Drosophila melanogaster: one gene and its partners. The protein of the gene in region 2 interacts with the protein of the main gene of each other region in a pairwise test. Each region holds a gene or a part of one and is shown on either strand. Other genes may lie near its edges. The genes, in order: Drgx, YL-1, CG13405 and tzn.

Region 1 (5,540 bases), 7.3 Mb from region 2:
GAATTAACCAAATTAAAAATGGAAACACAAGTCAATCAGCGAGTGCAACACCCAGAAGCGATGAGCAATGGGCGACCAAAAGGGGATCATCAGAGGGGCACAGAATGGTCAGTTAAAACATATATGGTCAGCATTTTGATAATGGAATAAGAACAGATAACTTTCATTATAATTTTCTACGTGTCATTCAAATATGTATAAAATACCATATTCAGAAGGTCAGAAGACAGACATATTTTTGGAATTTTTTCCTGCACTTTTGCCGCCTCTTGAAGGTCAGATGCAAACCCACCACCGACCTGCTTTCATTCCCAGGGCCAGTTGCACTAATGGACTTATCGGCCACTCGAATCTCGGTTCGCCAAATCGCGACGAGACGCAGAAACACACAGATTCGCAAGAGTGCAGTGCAGCTGGAAAGTGGGATAATTCGCAAACAGACTGCTGCAGTGCCTCCGCTTGTGGATATCACATCCATGGGCATATCCACGTGCGCATCCCTGCTCCAAAGCCCCGTCCCGCTGGCATTAGAGCCACTTAAACGCATTTGCGAAATTGCCTACCGCCCACCCACACACTCGTTTAGCTCTAGTTTTCCTAGTTTTTTTTGTTTTTGTTGTTGCCCCAAACCGAGAGCGCGATAATTTCCCACTGAGGTGAGATGATATGGTAATGGGAGGAGGAGGAGGAGGTGGAAGTGGGTGGCGGTAAACTGGCCGTCCAGCGATGAGGTTATCACTTTTGCCACCGAAGTAAAGTGCATCCGTTTTTAGAAATGTCTGCCTGTCCGGCCGGCGTAATCAAACTAAACTGGCGCAGTCTGCCACTGATGATCCAACTTGGAGTGGGCTGTGATATGATGGATACAGTAGAGCTTCCAGGTGCGGAAAGGATTTTTCAATATAATATTCATATCACAGTAGCTGAGAGTTATGATCTATCTACTCAATGATCTATCTAATATTTAAATGAAATACATACAAGTTGTTACACTTTCATGTTTTTGGAATCTCCACTGTCTAGCCAAACCATTTGCATATGCCCCCATCTAAGTATCCCTCTTGATTGCAGTTTTGGTTGAGCGTTTTCCTTTTTTTTTTTGCATATTTTTTTGCTGCTCTTGTTTTTGTCTCGCGGCGCATTAAGCGAATTTGCGAGGTTCGAATTTGATTGTGTCAATTGGCTCGCGCCTAGAATCAGGGAATCAGAGCCTCAGTGTAAATCGGACCGAAATGATGCAGTGCATTTGGCCGGAGAGCCACCCACCAGCGAATCAGCGCCCGAATGCTGCACTGCAAAAAATGAGCGTAAATTGAATTAGGCAGCCGTGTTGCACCCCCGCCAGTTTTTCGTGTCCAAGTGCCGCCAGCTTATACAAACTCGAAAGCCAAACAGAGCCGATTCCGAAAGCTAACCCTTTCAATTATATATACTTGATATACATACATAAATACATATATGTATGGTATATCGTCATCTTCGGGGCGCCCGCATGGGGAGGAAAATCCGTTGATCACCCCTACTGACTTGGTCTTCTTGTTTTATAAATATTTTGATTGAATTTTCTGTTTAATTAAAGCAAATTGTTTTGTGCATTTCAGTTGGTTAGGGTATGGGAGGTGTTGGCACCATATATTTATTAAGCTTTGTGGGGGGTCGTTAAGTGATTGAGAAACACAGGGGATGAATTAAAGTGGGCTATGAAATTTGCTAAGAGTGTGATGACGAAATCAAATGAATATGCTATATACAGATAATCAGTTCTAATTGTCGAATTATTCATTATAAATATATTAATATATTACAATAAGTTAATATTTAGATGGTTAAATATCTTTTTGAAACTAGTGGTACGGTGACATGTCTCATTTGCATATGGAAAGCCTCGGCGAGAATGTGTGGACTCCAATCTATCCATCAATTTGGAGCATTCACCAATTCGTTGCCCAATTCAATCAAGCAATCAATAAACATGGCCGAACTAACCTCCTTCGACTAACGTTCTCTGCGGTAATTCCATTTGCTAATTTAAATATGCCAAATTGTATTTTATTTGTATGCGGCCCTATCGCACCAGCCCCCTTTTTAACCCCCCCATTCAGCGCCCATTTCACTGCCCCTTTTTTGCACCCATGCTTCCCTAATTGAGTTGAACGAATCGAACAAAACTTGGCGACGAATGGAAAAACCGTTCGTCAACTCCAATTGACTCCTATGTGGATCCATCCAGTCAGACTTCCCAACCCTGTGTGCCACCCACCGCCCTCTTGCGTGGGCGTGGCATCCAGTGGAGCGTTGAACGTTTGCATGGCTGCCAATTAATTTGCGGTTGATCAATTTAATTTGAAACTTCGTTTTCCCCACTTCTTTTTTTTTTTGTTTGGTTTGCTCTTTGGCGAATTATTTGCCATTGATTTTGTACCCTTGCTCCATCTCCGTTGCGCACATGGAGAATCGGAATCCACGAGCTGTCTCCTCTTTTTTTCCCTCTCTTAATTACCATCAATTATTCAAACTGCATTTGCGGAGTGATCAACTTTTGGTCTGTCTTCAATTAAGCGGCGAGTTTTCAACCGAAATACCCCATCCCTTGCTGTTTTCGGGGGCAATCTCCTTTTGGATCCTTGCTGCCGAATCCTTTATGCATACACCAATTTTGGTTTTAATTCTTTTTTCGCCTCCAATCCACGCTTCTTTCACATTTGCACTTCAAGTGCTTGACGAGTTTTGTGCGATTTCTCACAGGAAAGGCATCGGCACAAACACTTTTGCCAGACACTTCGGGTCTGGCTCACAAAAACACACACTCCAGGACTCCGGACTCTCGAAGGCCGAGATTCTTATCACACTGAAACTCATTAGGAAATTTCCTTAATGCAAATTAAAAGCGTCTAAATAAATTATGAGCGCACGGTGTGCTGCGATTTGAATGGGAAGTTGAGGATTATCTTTTGAATCAGTTGCTTGAGGATAACAAACAATTCGATCATAACGTTCCAAAACCCGTTAATAATAATTCTTTTCTAAAGGAATTTCCGACTTTGTTATAAATCAAATGAGTGCATAAGAGATATTACCTTATTACCGTCCGTGAAAATTTTGGCAGCAATACTTCAAGCGTGTGACAGAAGAAAATCCCTTGTCGCTCTTGTTTTTTTGACTTTTTGGCGCTGAGCTCTGTTTGAGTTTAACTTTTTCGCAATTTTCACAGAACGAACGAACACGCAAGACAAAGGTGCGAAAGTTTCCCCGAGCTAAACAAGTCTAAACACTTGCCAGGAAGTTTTGCAAAAAGTTTTCAACAAGGATACGTGGGCGAATCACAAAGGAAGTTGGGCAATGTTAAGGATTCCTCTACAAATTACACGCTCAATCTCAGAGGTAATAGGCCGCAAAGAGTAGTTAGTTTTGGGTTAAGAACAAACACACACGTAGGTTTAGCACTTGAAGGAGCTGGATGTCTATGAGGAGTTTTGAGTTTTTCCAGCCTTGTTCGCAGCACCGTTTTGCCGACGGAAAAGTTTCCTTTTAGAGATTAAAAAATTGTCATTTAATCCAGACGGGTAATACGTATTTTTTCGGGGGATTTAGTAAGATCTATATGACATATATATAGTAGTGTGGATAGTGTTCAACCGACCGCGTGAAACGTCAGAATGCGAATGATCTAACGGTGCTTGCCGCAGTCGCAACGTCGACAGCGCAGTCGGCTGCAAATTAGATCTGCGCCGGCAGAAAGATGGCTGCGGGTGGGAAAGAGATGGAGGAGGAGGAATGGGGATGATGCCCCTAAGCGCCGCCTTTGCCATTTCCCGTTATTTTCGCTCGCGCATGCGCCGCGCAGCCAGCAAACCAAAGCGCAGTTGTTTCGAGACATATACCCATCTCGCTCGCTCACCCAACCCCCTCACTCCCTCTCTCTTTTGCTCTTTCTCCGGCATGTAAGACAATTTTCTCGCGCATTTTCATTGTGGAAATTGAATTTTCGGCATGGAGAGCTGCAAAAACAAAAACAGAAACGTTGAAGGGGCTCTCGTGTTCCTAATATCCCTATCTACTCTTATCCCTATCTACTTTATTTTATTACACTTTATTTAGGTGGCAAGGAGAGAGCGAGCGAAAGAGACGGGACTAGCCCCAAGGGGGGGAAGGAGAGCGCAAACAACTGAGGCAGCCTTAAATTGGATTTTCATCGTTAAGTGTGGTGAATGTGTGTGGGGCAGGGGGGTGGGGGATGCGGGAAGAAATGGGCGATACGGGAAGAAGAATCGCCTTCTTCGGGGAATCGCTTTGGTGCTCTTCGGGGAAGAGGAAGAGGATACTACAGCAGTAACAATAAGAAAACGATTACTCACCGTTGGTATTTATTTGGCATATCATTTTTTACCCCTCCCCACCCCCCACGAACTTTTTCTTTTCTTTGTGCCCCACTTGACAACTCAATTTATTTAGATTAATCTCTCATCTTGGGCAAAAAATAAATAACTAAGTGAATTTCAGTTAATTTATTATGGAGCATCATTGTTATGGCTTTTCTGTTTCCTCCCCCAAAGAAGAAAACACCCCGTATAATAGCAATTCCCAATCCCAGTGACGCCATCTTGGATCCCATTTATTATTGTTTGCCTGAATGGGTTCCTCTAGCTGTCCTTCGCCCCTCGACCTCTGACCCCTCTCTCAACCCCACCCCCCCTTCTTGCCACATGGCTCTTTGGCCACAATTACGAAATGAATTTGTGGCCTTCCGCAGTCCCTATTCTTCCCCTTTTATGCACTGCCGTAATTCCATCACAAATCTTACCTGAAATGTTCTTATTCCTAGGTAAAACATTATATAAATATCAAGCGAAATAAAATACTTTGCTTTACAATCTTTGAAATAGTATGAGTAGATGCTCTTCAAATTCTAAAAAAAACATGTAATATTTTTTATAATATTTTGCAACTGCTTTCTATTTTATTATCATAATCCAATTGTAAAAACTTGATCATCATTTGAGAATATATTTTTTAAAGTGTTCTGAATTTGGCATTTTGGGCGTGCAGGATAACTATTCAGTTTCTTCTGGCTCTCCTACGCTCTCCCCTCGCCTGCCGCTCCTTTCATTTGGGGGTAGCCTGTCAGGCCTGCAAATTGGCGCCCTGATTTATGACTTTGTCTATTGTTAGCTTACTTCCTTTGCCACCCACAGGCTCCTGGATTGCGGCCCCACTACGTTCCTCCATCATTAGTTTGTATTTTAGTTTCATTTCCAATCCGAATTTCATTTCATTTTGCGCTTAAATTTTGTTTTGTCCTCTTTGATTGTGTTTATTTTCCACTCCCTCTACATTTTCGGCGCTTTTCTTGGTTGGTTCGTTTTAGTGGAATTACCTACTTCATAATAGATGAGTCTGGGATTCGTTTTGGACGCCAGAGAGAAGGCGTGGCACTCGGCTTCTAACGCCTCTTCCTTTGGCAGGTGAGTTTCCAGCGATTCGGAGGAGGAAAAAAGATTTTTCCATCCACGGAAACTACTCGTGTTGCATTTTCCACTTTG
Region 2 (4,847 bases):
GATATGAAGGATAGCCTCCCATTTGAGGATACGGAGGATACGGCATGTACGGATTGTAGAGATATGAAGGATAGCCTCCCATTTCTTGATACGGAGGATAGCCCGGATTAGGATATGCAGGATAATTGTACTTGTGCTCCGTCTTGGAGTGCTTGTGCTTCTTCTCTCCACTGCTGCTGCTGCTGCTGTCGCTGCTATCGCTGTCCGTCCTAACCACTTCGTACTGAAGTAGCAGTACCAGAAGGACTCCAATCGCCGCACAGCTCTTCATTTCTCCGTTTAAACGCACGACGTTCGTTTGATCTAAGCTCACGGGTATGACTAAATCTTGCTCACACAATACCTTGTCCCGTTCCCGTTCCGACAATTCAAATAGCCAGCGCGTGCGTTGATTTTGATAAGTCGACAAAAACATACAGATGCGACAAGGTTGCGGCAGGGCCCACTCAACTAATTCCCTGTAAGAGTTTAGGATTGAAAAACAATTTCATTCGGAAATGAACAATACTTCGCCCATAGATTATAAATAGAGAATACAATGGGTTAATAATTTATGTGATGTAATGTCTCATACTTATTAATTAGTTATTGTGTGTCGGAACAACCGCATTTCCTCCAGATTTTGTTATATATTGCAAAGAGAGGCTGTGTGCTTATCAATTTGACGCAAATTAAGCGAAACAATTCTTTTGAATAATCTTAATAGAAGACTGCGACGCTTTTATTATTTAGACAACTAAACTTTTAAATAGAGCGGCAATTAAAATTAGATACTAAAAGGTAATAAATGGGTTTTACATATACAAATTGGATTAGCAAGATAAACTTTCTTTTGTGTAAACTGTTTTATCAACTTCTTAAGTTAATAAACCGGATGCTGCTGATAAATAAAATCAAAACAGACTGTGCGTTGATTATAAATACTTTTTAAAGATAACGTTTTGGGAAATACCCTATGTACTACTTTTCCATTGTCGCCATTGTATGAAATATATTAGGTAATCGTTTGGTACTGCCTGAAATTGACGAGGGTTGTCCAAAGAGTAGTTTGTGATTTCTTATACCTTTTTATTCGAAAAATACGTATAGCTTAATGAACTATAAAATTGATAGCATTATTAGTTATCTCCGTTTTTGCTGGCAGCTGCCGAAGCCTTCAGACGATTCTCCTTGACCAGCTTGCGCCATTCCAGCCATTTGGCCAGTTCGGGTTGCTCGCTGCCGCCGCCTTGCTGTTCCAGCTGCATGTAGTAGGCTTCGCGCAGAATTTTGAAGGCCTGGATGCTGTAGTATGGCTGCTGTGTGATCGGGTCAAAGTAACGGGCTGGCAGCCTGGTGATTGGACAGATGCCATTGCTGGCTTTGGGAGGCGCCTTGTGGCGGAAGAGGCTTTGAAACACCTTGTCATTGAAATCGTTCTCGATTGTAACGAATGTGCGTTCGCACTTCCCAGCAAGATCCTTTGAATCGACCGCAGGGTTTGCTCCGCGAGTGGGCTTTCGCATCGCTGGCATGGTTAGTGAGTGGTAGCGTATCGTGGGTCCGGAGAACGTGCGCTTGGTGGGACGTGATTTCTTCTTCTCCAGCTCCATTTTCTGGAATTTCTCTGTGAATGCAACAGCAAATTGTAAAATAGCTGCTTCCTTGGTTGCTTTAGATACCCACCCAAAGATTTAGTGTTTTCTTCCTCGGTTATTTTGGCCTCCTCCAGCAGCTCCTCCTGCGTGGGCATGTAGTCCTCCACGCGCACCTTCTTCTTTTTGCGCTTGCGGGCATCGTCCAACTCTTTGAGGCGTATTTTGGTAGCCTGTGTCTTGATGGCCGTGGAAGTGCGTATGGATTTGCGGCCGGAATCGAGGACCGTGAAGCGTGGACGTGGCCGCCGTTTCGTTACCCCACCACCAGGTCGTTTCTTGTGCAGGGCCGGCGTTGCCTTTGTTTCCTTTTTGACTGCAGGCTTGGTTTCCTGCGGAAATCATATGTACCATTTAAACACATTCAGTAATCACAGGATTTTATCGCATTTTAAGAATGGTTCGCACCTTATAAGCCTTTGTGTTAACGACACCGCGTTTCCGCTTTTTCTCGGGCGCCTCTTCCTGATCCGAAACGGGCTCGTCGTTCTCATCGATACTGAAGTCGGAGTCAACCACATCTTCCTCTTCGTCTTTTTGCCTGCAGAGTGAATTTTATATGGCTTGAGCATTTAAATTTATTCAAATGATTAGTGCTCACTCGTATTCCTTATCCTCTTCGTCCTCCTGAAATCCACCATAGGACGTTTTGTAAAAGTCGTCCTCCTCTTCCTCATTGAGCAAATGAGCTATTTTGTTGCCGGCATTGTTGCGCCGTGATCGCGAGGCAGCCATTTTTGTTATTTATATATAGAAACTATGATTTAAAGCAGCTATTAAATAATAATATTTTACAATTTGTAAATGTAAACAAGCAGAGCAGTGTGACCAATGTAGCAAACATAGTATATATCGCAGAGGCTTTACAACTTTGGTATGCGTTTCAGCCCTGGTAAAGAAAATGGTTTCTCCTGCATTGGCAGTTATTCAAACACATTTAAAACATAGCTAAATTTATTTATTTATCTATTACATGTATCACAACAAAAAGCAGGCAGCTGCTTTAAAATCACATTAAAAAGCGGTCGGTAATTCAACTACCGAAAGTAGACCACATTACTTTACACTTGCGCTGGCCACACTCTTGGCTTGTTGCTTTTTATTCTGCCGGCTGCCTGCATTTTCTGATTTAATTTAATACCATCGATAAAAAGACTGCTCGCAACATGTCGGAACAATGGGAGGTGGTCTCCAAGTCGCGCAAGCAAAAGAATCTGGACAAGAAGGTGTCTGCACACAACGAGCAGAAGCGCATCGCGGCCCAGTTGCCCAAACTGGAGGAGCTGTGTAAGAATCTTTTAAAAGGTGCACCTTGCAATGCGATTACATGTTTGCCCCTGCCATTTTATTCACTTCGCAGTGCCAACTCAGCGGTATCGCAATTTGTTCGGCAGCAGCAACAACAACAACAGCAAGTCCCATTCCCCTGCGAAATCTAGTTCAAGTGCCTCATCTTCCTCAAAAGCCAATAAGTCGCCAGTTAAAAAGCACACCGCAAAGAATGCCTCTACCCAAAAAAGGACCACGTCGGCAGCCGCATCGAAGCCAAAGACTCTGGAGCTGGCCTTGAGAAACATCACCCGGGATGATTTTGCTGCCCAACTGGAGCAGGTGAAGCTCAGTTGTCCTGGCTCCGAGCTGCGCTGGTTAAGCCATGTATGTTTCTAAAGGAAATGTGCCTAAATATTTGCTCACCTATCGTTGTCCCCCAGATTGCGCTATACTTCAATGAAGCCTTGTCCTATGACTGCGATCCCATCTTCTCCGGCCGCTCGGCTCAGTATCCCAGCAATTTGGCCAGCGCCTCGCTCAAGTACTCAATTGTGGAGTTTCTGGGCAGTGTGGGCGAACAAAACCTGGAGTATTTCTTCTACTCCCTGCTGGATAGCATGTCAACGGATCTAAACAACAATCAGACAGTGGCAGGCTACAAGCTCATCCTACAGTTGATCGGTCAAAACTGGCCGAACATTTGTTCTAGGAACCTGGCCAAGACTGCGTTGCTAAGGAACTCCTATCAGAACCGTAGCAACATCTGCCTGAGCATCCTGTGGGCAATTGGACAAGGTGGCTATCAGTCCCTAAACGAGGGCGTTCGCGTGTGGCAGAACCTGATGCTGCCCAACCTGGAGCTAAAGCAGTACACCAAGTTTGTGGTCGAGTATATGGAGCGGGCTCTGAGTGCAGCAGCTGTCCGGAAGACAGCGGATCCTCTGCAGATCAACCAGCAGGAGTTCTTTGCCACTTACAATGCGCTCAATGCACCCTATAACCACCTGCCCAAGGAATGGCAGCAAAGTCTGAAGCGTAGTGCGCGTTTGTTGCTTGTAAGGACGAAAACAATTGATAGTTGTCCCATTGTTTCACTGACCTTTCTTCCTCCTGTGTGTAGCAACACTATATCAACAGTCCTGTGAGGCATGCCAACATATTCCTTACGCTCTTCCGGGAAATAAGCGCCGGATCCAAGCAGACTAATGAGATCGAAGGCTGTATTAGTTGTCTGCTCAGCAGCGGCAGAGATGATTGCCTCAGGGTGTGGCGCATGAACTACAAGAAGCAACAGTTGCCTAGTCTACTGCTTCTGAAAGCTATAAGTACGATCTACAGCTGTGAAAATTCATTTAATTGGATTTTTGTTTAAAAGTACCACCCACACTTAACGTTAATGTGTTATCTAATATTGAATTTCTATCTTTTCCTAGACGACAATTGGACCACGTCTACCCATGAGTTGGCTACGTCGACTGTGTATCACTCTTTTCTGCAAGATGTGGCGAATCTGAACGAAGAACTGCAGGGAAGCAAGAGAAACGAAGGTCACCTAGATGATTTAAAGGAGGTTTTGTTGGTGAGTGCGACTTAAGTATATCACTCGATTCCAAGCATAAGGCTCTGATCCCAGATCGATAAAAGGTGAATGTTGAATGTGTGTTGTTTTATCTTTTATAGTTTTATTGGAAAACTAGTATATAGGTAATATATTTATTTTGTTAGCTTTTTTAACCCAAACTTATTATTCAAACTTAAATGAAATCAGAAACACTATAAATTTGAATTTTCTCACACCTCTGGTAACACTGTTTAAGTTAAGTGGTCTGGCTTAGTACATTACGTACTCTGGTCACATTGCTTTAGTGAAAAGAAAAACGAAGGTATAAACTTGTAGAACTGCCGTCTAAAAGTGAATAATTTATTGCAATCGGTGCTAAA
Region 3 (4,585 bases), on a different chromosome or scaffold from region 2:
GGAATTATATATTTGGATTTAAACACGAGATAGTTTTTTTTTTTTTTTGTGAGCAGCCTTGTCTTATTGAGTCCAGTTGACTGGTACTGCAGCATTCCTTGACATTAAAGTTACGAAGTGGTTTATTGCCACCCGTGATGCTAACAGCAATTTTTACCCCCAGTTCATCATGTGGAATTACAACGCATTTATTTACTTTGTTTACATCACTTATTATTGTTGTTAATATTGGTATTGCAATGTGTTTGTTTTTTTGTTTGCCCTTTTTTTGTGCAAAAATTGATTTTTCTTCTGGGTCTGCCCCGCTCACATTTCCACCTCCTCCCTTCGCTGCCATCCCTTGAGCGTGTCAGAGTTCATCATTACGCCCGTCTAATGTCAAAGATTGTCAACCTTCGCTGAGCGGTTGTGTTTAAATATTACAAATACGACATGTTGTCATGCCACATGAAGACCGGCTTACTAGAAAGGGCGGTCTCAACAAACCCTATTCTCACACCATCACACGACTTTTTTATTACGTCCCCTTTTAAATTATGCTCTGTGAATGGGAATGATTAAAATAATAACAAAAAAGGAAATCAAGCGACGAAATAATATACTGAGTTGACAATACGTTTAAGAGGCCATTTTAAAATAAAAGTTTACCAGGACAGAGAGAGTAGAGTGCCTCGACTACAAGATACCTCTCACTCAGGTGATAATCGGGGTGGCAACTCACTGAAACAAACTGCGACAGCATACGCTGCGGAAGGAAAATGCACAATAAATGGAAATAGAAAAGTTTAATTGAAACTCATTCAAAAAAAAAAAAAAAACAATCAAAGCATGCTAAGGATCTCTATATCTGAAACAGATGCTCTCTACAAAATAGTTGCAGTGAAAAATGGCAAGAGAGTGGGCAAAGAAAAGCGCAGAAGGAGAAAGGCTTCATGATGAAGGATGCTTGTTGTTTGCTGCAGTTAAATTAAATGAAAAAGTTTAAAACTTTTTTAATGAAACCATTTTATTCAGTAGAGGCATAAACAAAAAAACAGTCCCCATTCCGTTGTAACAATAGCACAAAAAAGATGCAAGACAAAGGAAAACAAAAGTCTGAGCGGAAGAAAAACTTGATGCAACTTGCATGGTCTGAAAGGAATCAAAAAAAAAAAAAAAAAAAAAAGAATAAAATGTCCCAATAAAAATCAAAATATGTATGAGACTTAAAGGGGGTGGCCTATGCTTGCTTTCAACTTTGTAAATTAAATTGCCCGTTATTTGATTTAAAATGGGCGGCGCAGTCTTTTTGAGCTTAAGTGACGTATGCGTAATCTGAATGGGGAGCTAATCGAAAAGCCACCTTGATACGGACGATAAAACCCATAGGCTCTGGCTATGGGTGTTCGCTTCTAATGCAACTGTCGCTTTCAGGGACTCGCAAGCAATTGGTAATTACGCCAAAAATTAAACAGGGACGTAATCAAGAAAACATCAAGGATAAAAGCTTAAGCTTGGACCAAACAAGGTGCTTATTATTTAATTAAGTAAATTCAAATAAATTAAATTAAATAAATAAATAAATTTAAATTTGTATATCCCTATATCGACATATTCAATTTCTTTGCTAAACATTGTTCTCTACATTTTTGTCTTTCATTGCACACAACTTTGCAGGTACATTTTGCGTACATATTGTGCATTCCTATTATGCCATTCAATGCACCAGTTTGATATTAAAACAGCAACTTGTGTCGCTGGGCCAGTTATCAAATACATACCCTTTCTTTCCTGGCTTACAGGTTGTAATCTGTTAGAATTCACGTCTTAACTACCGGTAGTACGATGAAACGACCCTGCTGCGAGATAAACATTATGCCAAATTAAAATGCATTCTGTAGTTTCTATAATTAATGCGAACGCATGCCGTCGAGTGGTGCGCTTTGAAACGTAATCCACCGGATCCAGCCACAAGAAATCACTGAGTCAATAAAAGCGTGAAATAAGAGAGATGAGATTGTAGAAGGAATGAAGTTAACGGCGCAACAGCTATCATGATGGCAGAAGAACAATAAATCGTATATGAAAAGATCTAATAACGAGGGAAACGGAAACGGAAGTTATTGAAGTGCTAAAAAAAATGGCGAACTGAAATAATAAAAGTAGTTGTTGTGTGCAGTAAACTGAGATTTTACTGGCTCTAAGGTGTGGAGTTTTATGTTTACGTTTGTCGATCACATGATAAATCTACTACAACAATTTGTATTTGATTTATATATCAAAATTTGGTTTATTAAAGTATTTCATAATTATGTAAACTAATACCCCTGCATCGCTTAATACAATTTATCCCTAACATCCGAAGCAATGTCTGATGTGGAGCAAGAAGCCTCTGGAGACGTTGATAATGAGCAAAATGAAGGACAAGAAGCTGCTGAAGATTTTGAGGGAGAGGGCGAAGGAGACGAACAGGACGTTGAAGAGGAAGATAAGTTCGAGGTGGAGGAGAAGGATCCCTTTGAGCTCCTCAATGAGAGCGATGAAGACGATGAAGAGCAACAGGCAATGTACAAGGAGTATCAGGAGGTGGTCAACGCTATTGATGCGCAGAACAGGATTATAAAAGAGCTCAAGGCAAAGTCCAATCGACTGATGTTCAAGAAGTGCAAGACTTATAGAGACAAGCAGGAATACAAACAACTTAGGGTCTGTCAGGAGCATGAGGAGATCCATTTAAAGGTTCTCGTGAATAGAGCCATGCACCTCCAAAACTTCGGTTCACCTAGGCGCTACAGAGATATAGAAATGGAAGTCACAGAGGACGAGAAGAGCTACTTTTATACTGAACTACAATCGACCTTATCAGGCTTTTGTCCCACGGATTCGGCTGACGAATATGAGTCGGATTCTGAATCGGATAATGGACTATGTTGTACCTAGTTTCCTAGCGGAGTTTCCGAAAATTGACGGGGAAAAGTTATGAAAATACTTGAATAATTGTGGAATATCTTCATATTTTACATATATACATATCTACACATATCAACGACACTGCACTCAATAAAATGGGAAAGGATGGAGGGAATGTGAATAAAAAATGCAAGAAAATTTCAATAAAATGCAAGTAAATGCAAAATTTAATTTAATCCCTCGATTTCTAAAATATCTGCCTAGCACTTCTTTTAGCTGGGTTTAATAGTCAAGAGTCCAGACGTGGAGTAGCCAAATAGCGGGAAAGTGTAGAGCAATAGCAATAAGCGCAAAAACAAGACGATTGTGCCCCCAGACAGAATAAGGGGATCAAAGCAAAACAGCCATAAACAAATAACCGAAGAGGCACAGAAAGACGCCAGTAGACGAGAATGAATCGAAACGAACTGAATTGAACCAAAACTTCTCTCGATGATTTCTTCGTTCCCTCCTCCTTCTTTTATTATGCCTCAATTCTCACTCTCCGCCAAGTGCCACGCCCATTGTGGCGCTTGATGGGGAACACTTCGCAAAAACGAGATAGTTTGACGTTTTCTACACAACTGGTCACTGTTTAAATTTTATTTACATTTAGAAAGATTTGGAGAAAAGTGAAATGTAAATTATTTCGATTAAAAGATAATTTATGTGGACTTGCAACTTAGAAATTTATGGTTTAACCCTAAGGTGGAAAATTCAAAAGCGCGATTTTAGAAGGGGAATGTTGTCGGCGCCAAATTCGCCAACCCAATGTGCAGAAGCAGCGGCTTCGACCGCGTTGCGACGTCACCTTGCGTCCATTCACCCCGTTCATCATTGTTTATGAGTGTGTGCCCAGACACAAAAACAAGCACACATTAACGTATACAGCAAAATTCCTTTAACTGTGCTTCGATTCCATTCCATTTTCCATCTGGTTCTGTTTCTGTTTTTTGGACCTCTGCCTTGGGTCTTCTGTTCATGTCTCTTCGCCCCCCCCCCCCCCCCCCACCCAATTCTCCAACCCTACTGCGTTCTCCCGCTTGTTGTTATTGCACTGTCTGCGGCTTGGGTATTTTTTACGCGCCTGTGCTCCATTCCACGTTCCCAGTCTCCCCGTCTCGTTCCAACAACCTTGGTATATATCTTCGCCGCCCAAAAAAAGTGTGCGAAAAATACTCTAGGAAGATTCAGAATCGCGGAGTCGGATCTAGGAGAGTCGTAATTATTCATGTTTTTTTTTTTAGATACATGTATGTATGTATGTATGTATAACGTGTATGTATGTATGTATAACGTTGGCGAGCAAGTGAAACGGAAACACAATAAGAAGAAGAAAAAAGAATCAAGGTGTCATGCCCCTCCAGAACAAGCTTCAGTGGAAGGGCGAGCAGATGGAAAAAGAATTGCGTCTCGTGTTCATTTTTTTTTTTGTGTGGATATAGACTTTCGCTGGTGGGTCACAAACACAACCACTTATGAACCCTTTAAACCGATAAGTGTCACTCACATTTTCACTAGAAACGTAAATTCCGTATCGTTCTATTTTAGAGCTGGTATGTTTCGGTTCCAACAAATAATTTTCTAAATTAATTTCGCATAAAAAGTGCCAACCAATGCCAGCAACACACACAGGCGCCATAGTATGTAGGCGGTG
Region 4 (4,764 bases), on a different chromosome or scaffold from region 2:
TCCAGTTTGTTTGTTGCCACTTTGATGGAGGATTCCTCACAAACGCTCGACGCGATTTGGTGGCGGTTGACGAGAGATCCGGATATCAGATCCATGGTCTTGTCTACCAGCTGGCGGTCGCTGAGACTGCTTTGCAACAGTTTTCGCTCCTCGGAGGTCATGCAAAAGGACACAGCAGAGATTGAGGATGTCTTCCTCGATTTGTCCATCATTTCGCAGGGCAGCAGGGTGAAATCCACGCTGGCCTGCAGATTCACGGACAGATCGACATGTTCCCGCTCGCAGTGGCTGGGCAGGGGAATGTTCTCCTTGTCGGCATGTTCGGAAACCCTCGCTACTGATGCTGATCCTGTGCTGCAGCACTTCGATCCCGAGCTGTCCTCAGCATGGTGTTCCGACACCTCGTACGAGTCGTCCCAGTTGTTGGTCTCCTTGGTGTTTACGAATTCCCTATGTGGAGGGCGGGTGAGCGTTGTACATCGCATATATCTACTGTACGTACCTCACGGACTTCTTGCCACTGAAACTGATGCGTCGCTTGATTTGTTGTTTGATCGCGGACGTTGTTGTGGTCGCCTCATCTTCCTTGGTCGGCACCTTACGCAGCTGCAAGAAGAGTAGGTCTACCATGAGCGCTTCTCAATCAATTAATTTTCGAAGAACCCACCGAACTTCTGCGTTTGTTTGCGTTCATCGCGCCGTGCTGTTAACTTGTTTTTATTTCAAAATCCCATTGGAGAGACGCCGCGATTTTTGTGTTAATGGCAGACGGTGTTGCCAGATCGTTGGCGATAGATCGCTAGAAATACCAAAAGTATTTTTGATATGCCCAAAAGGCACTAACGCCTAACCAAAACCGTTGTGATTCAAATTTTACGAAATTTGCTAAAATCTTTGGATTTAAAAAATTTGTTAAGTTCATTGCTCTATGAATAAAGTTGGAATCAACCAGTACCCTCTTCTCTAGGGTGTTGCTAGACCAAAATACCAAAAATAAATTCTTTTAAATAAAGCTGAAGAAATAAATTTATGTCATAATTTGAATAAAACAAAAAAAGTTTTAATCCGATAAATTGCGAATAATTAAAAATCCATTGTCCGCACTTCACACACATCGTTAATTTTATTAACCATTAAAATCCAATATTAAATCACAAGTTTCGAAACTTTCGAGGAAATAGATCAGGCTTTGAAGGTGTCCTTTTCCTTGCGCAGCTTGCCCATGGTGACGACGGGATCGGTGGCTCCGCCAGCGTGCTTCTGCACGGTGGCTTCGTGAACGCGCATAAAGGGGTTCCAGGACTTCTCCTCGCCAATGGTGGAGGGCACAGTGGGATCCTGGGAGGCGCGCCGGTGCTTGGCCCACTCGATCCTCTGCTGGATGACCTCGTTGTCGGGCTCGACGTGACGGGCGAAGCTCATGTTCTGCAGCGTGTACTCGTGGCCACAGAACACCTTTGTGGCGTCCGGCAAGGCGGAGAGCTTTGTGCACAGCGCCTCGTACATTTCCTCGGGAGTGCCCTCGAAGAAGCGGCCGCATCCGCCCTGGAAGAGGGTGTCGCCGGTGAAGACGGCTCCCTCGCCGCTGCCCTGCTGCGCGGTGATGTGGTAGCAGATGTGGCCGGTAGTGTGGCACGGCGTGGACAAGCACTTGACATGCAGACCACCAATGGTGAAGGTGTCGTCCTGCTGAACCTTTTTGTTCAATGCCCCGATGCGGTCATCGCCGCCATACACGTCCAGCTCCTTCTCCCACAGCTTGAGCAGCTTTTCATTGCCACCGGCGTGGTCCCAGTGATGGTGCGTGGTCAGCACCTTGCTGAGGGTCAGCTGCTGCTCCTGCACCGTCTTAATGACCAGCTCCGGCTCCACGGGATCCACCACGGCCGCCTCGCGCGTCTTCGTGTCTACAATCAGATACATATAGTTATCCTGCAGGGCCGGCAGGATCTTGATCTCCATGCCCTCCAGCTGCACGTCCTCCAATGTGCTGTGCATGCCTCTGAAGCCGACTTTTCGTAGTTTTTGCACTGAAACGAAGCGATGGTTTCACATTTAGCTACATAGATGGCCAACAGATAAACAGACTGACTAGCTACGGACGAACAAAAAGCGTAGATACTGGGAAATGAAATTGCAGCACCGGGAGAGATTAGATTAAACACGTATGTACGGATAGATTACGCTTGACGAGACTTGGACAGATGACGGGCACAGCCAGAAAACGCCGCCGAATCGCTCCGAAACCAGGGGCATCCGCTCGAGGAATCGTCCGCCAGGAACGCAGGAGCAGTGTCGGATTGCTGGACGAACCTCGGAAGTAGGTGGCCGTCAACTGGGTCTCCACGGAGGTGGCCACGCTGCGCCAGGCGGAGGCCAACATTCTGTACTTTCGGCTAGATAAACTGAAAAGCGTGTGCGATTCGAAATGAATTAATTATGGCTCCTAATTACAGTTGTTTTTTTCTCCAAATCTGCTATGCTCGGGCGAGTGTGACCGTTTGGGGGCCGGTAAGGGAAACCACTGACGGGTACACCATCTACCGGAAATATACCGAAACATACCTGCAAACGTAGTGGTGGCTCAAACCGGAAATGAAAAGTTTTATAGCACAGACATAAGCCAATAATAATAAAAATACATTTTTATATTAAATTATATATTCTTGTCTCTAGGCCAAAGAGTATATGTTCTCTTCTGTGGTAAAAAGCTTATAAGTTAACTTTTTGGCACGCCTAACTTGAATTCAGATCATATGTACGAAAAAGACGTCAGTTGGCTTTGAAGCGGCACGTCATAAGTTTAGAACATAAAGTCACTATGTCGGAATCAACCGATCCCCATTGCGCCACCTCCAAGTCCAACCTGATCAAGGTGAACCACGTGGGGGTGACGGCCAAGCTGCAGTCTCCCCTGAAGAAGATCTTCCCACGGCTGAACTCCTCCAGCGATTCCGACGCATATCAGCACAGTCAGACGCAGTACAACATGTTCAAGGATGTGGCGCACGGGGAAATGACCGCGTCCACGGATTCGGGGAGCTCACCACACACTCTGTACGAGATGCACGCTGAGCCGGGGAAGAGTCAGCTTAGCCTGAGCAAGAGCAAGCCCCAAAGGATCGAGTTCCAGCGTTACTCCAAGCGCCGTCCCCGTGTGCTCGTCCCAACGAGAACTGCGCCGAAAGTGAAGGGTCGTGCCACAAAGTCCCACAAATCATCGCAGGCGCAGAAGCAGAAGCAGAAGAGTGGCTTTCTAGCCCGTTTAGTGGAGTCGCTGGACAAGATGTGCAAGTGCCAGCCGCAGAGCCGAAATTCCATCATCGACGATCTGCCGGAGCCACAGTGGAATCGCAAGGAGGCCAACCGGCACACCTGCATCGGCATCTATCCCTTCGAGCATGGCTGCGCCGACTATCTGAGCACCACGGACTCGCATCCGAAGATCAATGCTATTGTCCTGGCCGACCGCGCCACCACCTATGCCACCCACTTCTGGGCGGAGCTCTTCGGACTGCTGCACATCGCCGTGGCCTTCGTGGTAGCCTTCATTCTGCAGAGCTACCGATTTGTCCTCTACTCCCTGGTGAACACCCTGATCGTTGGACTGCTCCACATGACCTCCGACTACTTGCTCAAGCCCCTCCTGACCATGCTCTTCAACGGCTACCTGCAGCCACCACTGATTTTCCTATACAATGTACTGTGCTCCGCCAGGGACATCCTCGATCCGGTGGCCACCACCCTGAACAACTTGATGAAACCGCTGGCCACGGTGGGCGGCAGTATACGATTGGTGGACGTCAACTATCGCCAGGTCCATAAGCTGGCCAAAGAGGTTTGAGTTTCGTTTCGTTTACGCTGTTAAATTGTTATTGTTCGTTTTCGAAGTGCTTTTCTTGTTATATTAAAAATAAGTACGGACTTTATATAAATTCTACTCATTTTAAATTAAGGATAGAAAACTACAACTGCTTGTACAAATGTAATATAATGCAATATATAATATCAGGCAATAATATTATTAAATACATATTTTTTATATTTGTATATAATCAATATTTGTATGAACTATAAATTTAAAAGGATTCCCCCATTGAATCTGTTTCATTTCAATTTTGTTCCGTTGACCGTTTTGTTTCACTTCCACTTGTTCCCGTAGGCGGAGCCATTACAACCCCTAAAACTGAAGAAGTTTTTCCACCTCGCAGCCTTCACACAATATTACGCACATTCCAAAAAACCTTCTCGGATTACATTGTTTTTCTCGTTTCACAGAAGTGTAGGCATGGTGACCCACCCCTGCCCCTCGGAGAAGGAGAACTTAGGGGTAAGTTCTGGCTCAATTACGTTGAATGAAACATTTATGATTTATTTGCTCATTTTGCGGCCGGGGAAAGCATATGTCCAAAATAAAAAATAAAAAACACACTAATTGTGTCCCGCGGGAATTTCGTTTGGCAGCGCATAATTAGTTTACAATTTTCGCTTAATAAAGTCGTTAGAAAACAACGATGCACAAGAGAATTTGAAATCCCATTTAAAGCTAGCCATAAATAATATAGAACTTGAATATAAATAATATATAGTGAAAATATTAATATCGTTGGACAATTTTTCTCTATGTAATGGTGAGAAACAGCCGTCTTTTTTTTTATCAATGGTGCTTTGATTTTATCAGATTTCATTCTTCAAATTTTCATTCATTTTTGGCCAAAATTTCCCAAGAACTCTGCATACCAAATTTAGAAAGAGCAAATAAAC

Evidence for each region.
Region 1: the proteins of YL-1 (region 2) and Drgx interact in a two-hybrid assay, tested with the Drosophila melanogaster proteins (one large-scale study listed by BioGRID).
Region 3: the proteins of YL-1 (region 2) and CG13405 interact in a two-hybrid assay, tested with the Drosophila melanogaster proteins (one large-scale study listed by BioGRID).
Region 4: the proteins of YL-1 (region 2) and tzn interact in a two-hybrid assay, tested with the Drosophila melanogaster proteins (one large-scale study listed by BioGRID).

Annotation. Positions count from the first base shown.
Region 1 is NT_033779.5:3,660,844-3,666,383, reverse strand, and holds the start of Drgx (dorsal root ganglia homeobox), read right to left. Parts: upstream 3,640-5,540; 5' UTR 3,078-3,639; intron 1-3,077.
Region 2 is NT_033779.5:10,968,076-10,972,922, reverse strand, and holds YL-1 (YL-1), read right to left. Parts: upstream 2,481-4,847; 5' UTR 2,370-2,480; coding exon 2,236-2,369; intron 2,176-2,235; coding exon 2,043-2,175; intron 1,967-2,042; coding exon 1,666-1,966; intron 1,607-1,665; coding exon 1,119-1,606; 3' UTR 830-1,118; downstream 1-829. Other genes in the region: CG16743 (uncharacterized protein), read right to left, coding at 1-415; Tmem214 (transmembrane protein 214), read left to right, coding at 2,801-2,921, 2,995-3,290, 3,347-3,961, 4,027-4,231, 4,340-4,485. UniProt on the Drosophila melanogaster protein: Part of the Tip60 chromatin-remodeling complex which is involved in DNA repair. Upon induction of DNA double-strand breaks, this complex acetylates phosphorylated H2AV in nucleosomes and exchanges it with unmodified H2AV.
Region 3 is NT_037436.4:72,972-77,556, reverse strand, and holds CG13405 (uncharacterized protein), read left to right. Parts: upstream 1-2,224; 5' UTR 2,225-2,346; coding exon 2,347-2,919; 3' UTR 2,920-3,103; intron 3,104-3,165; 3' UTR 3,166-3,612; downstream 3,613-4,585.
Region 4 is NT_037436.4:20,796,409-20,801,172, reverse strand, and holds tzn (tenzing norgay), read right to left. Parts: upstream 2,492-4,764; 5' UTR 2,384-2,491; coding exon 2,185-2,383; intron 2,031-2,184; coding exon 1,183-2,030; 3' UTR 1,107-1,182; downstream 1-1,106. Other genes in the region: Spc105R (Spc105-related), read right to left, coding at 1-450, 503-606, 668-694; CG3698 (uncharacterized protein), read left to right, coding at 2,822-3,844.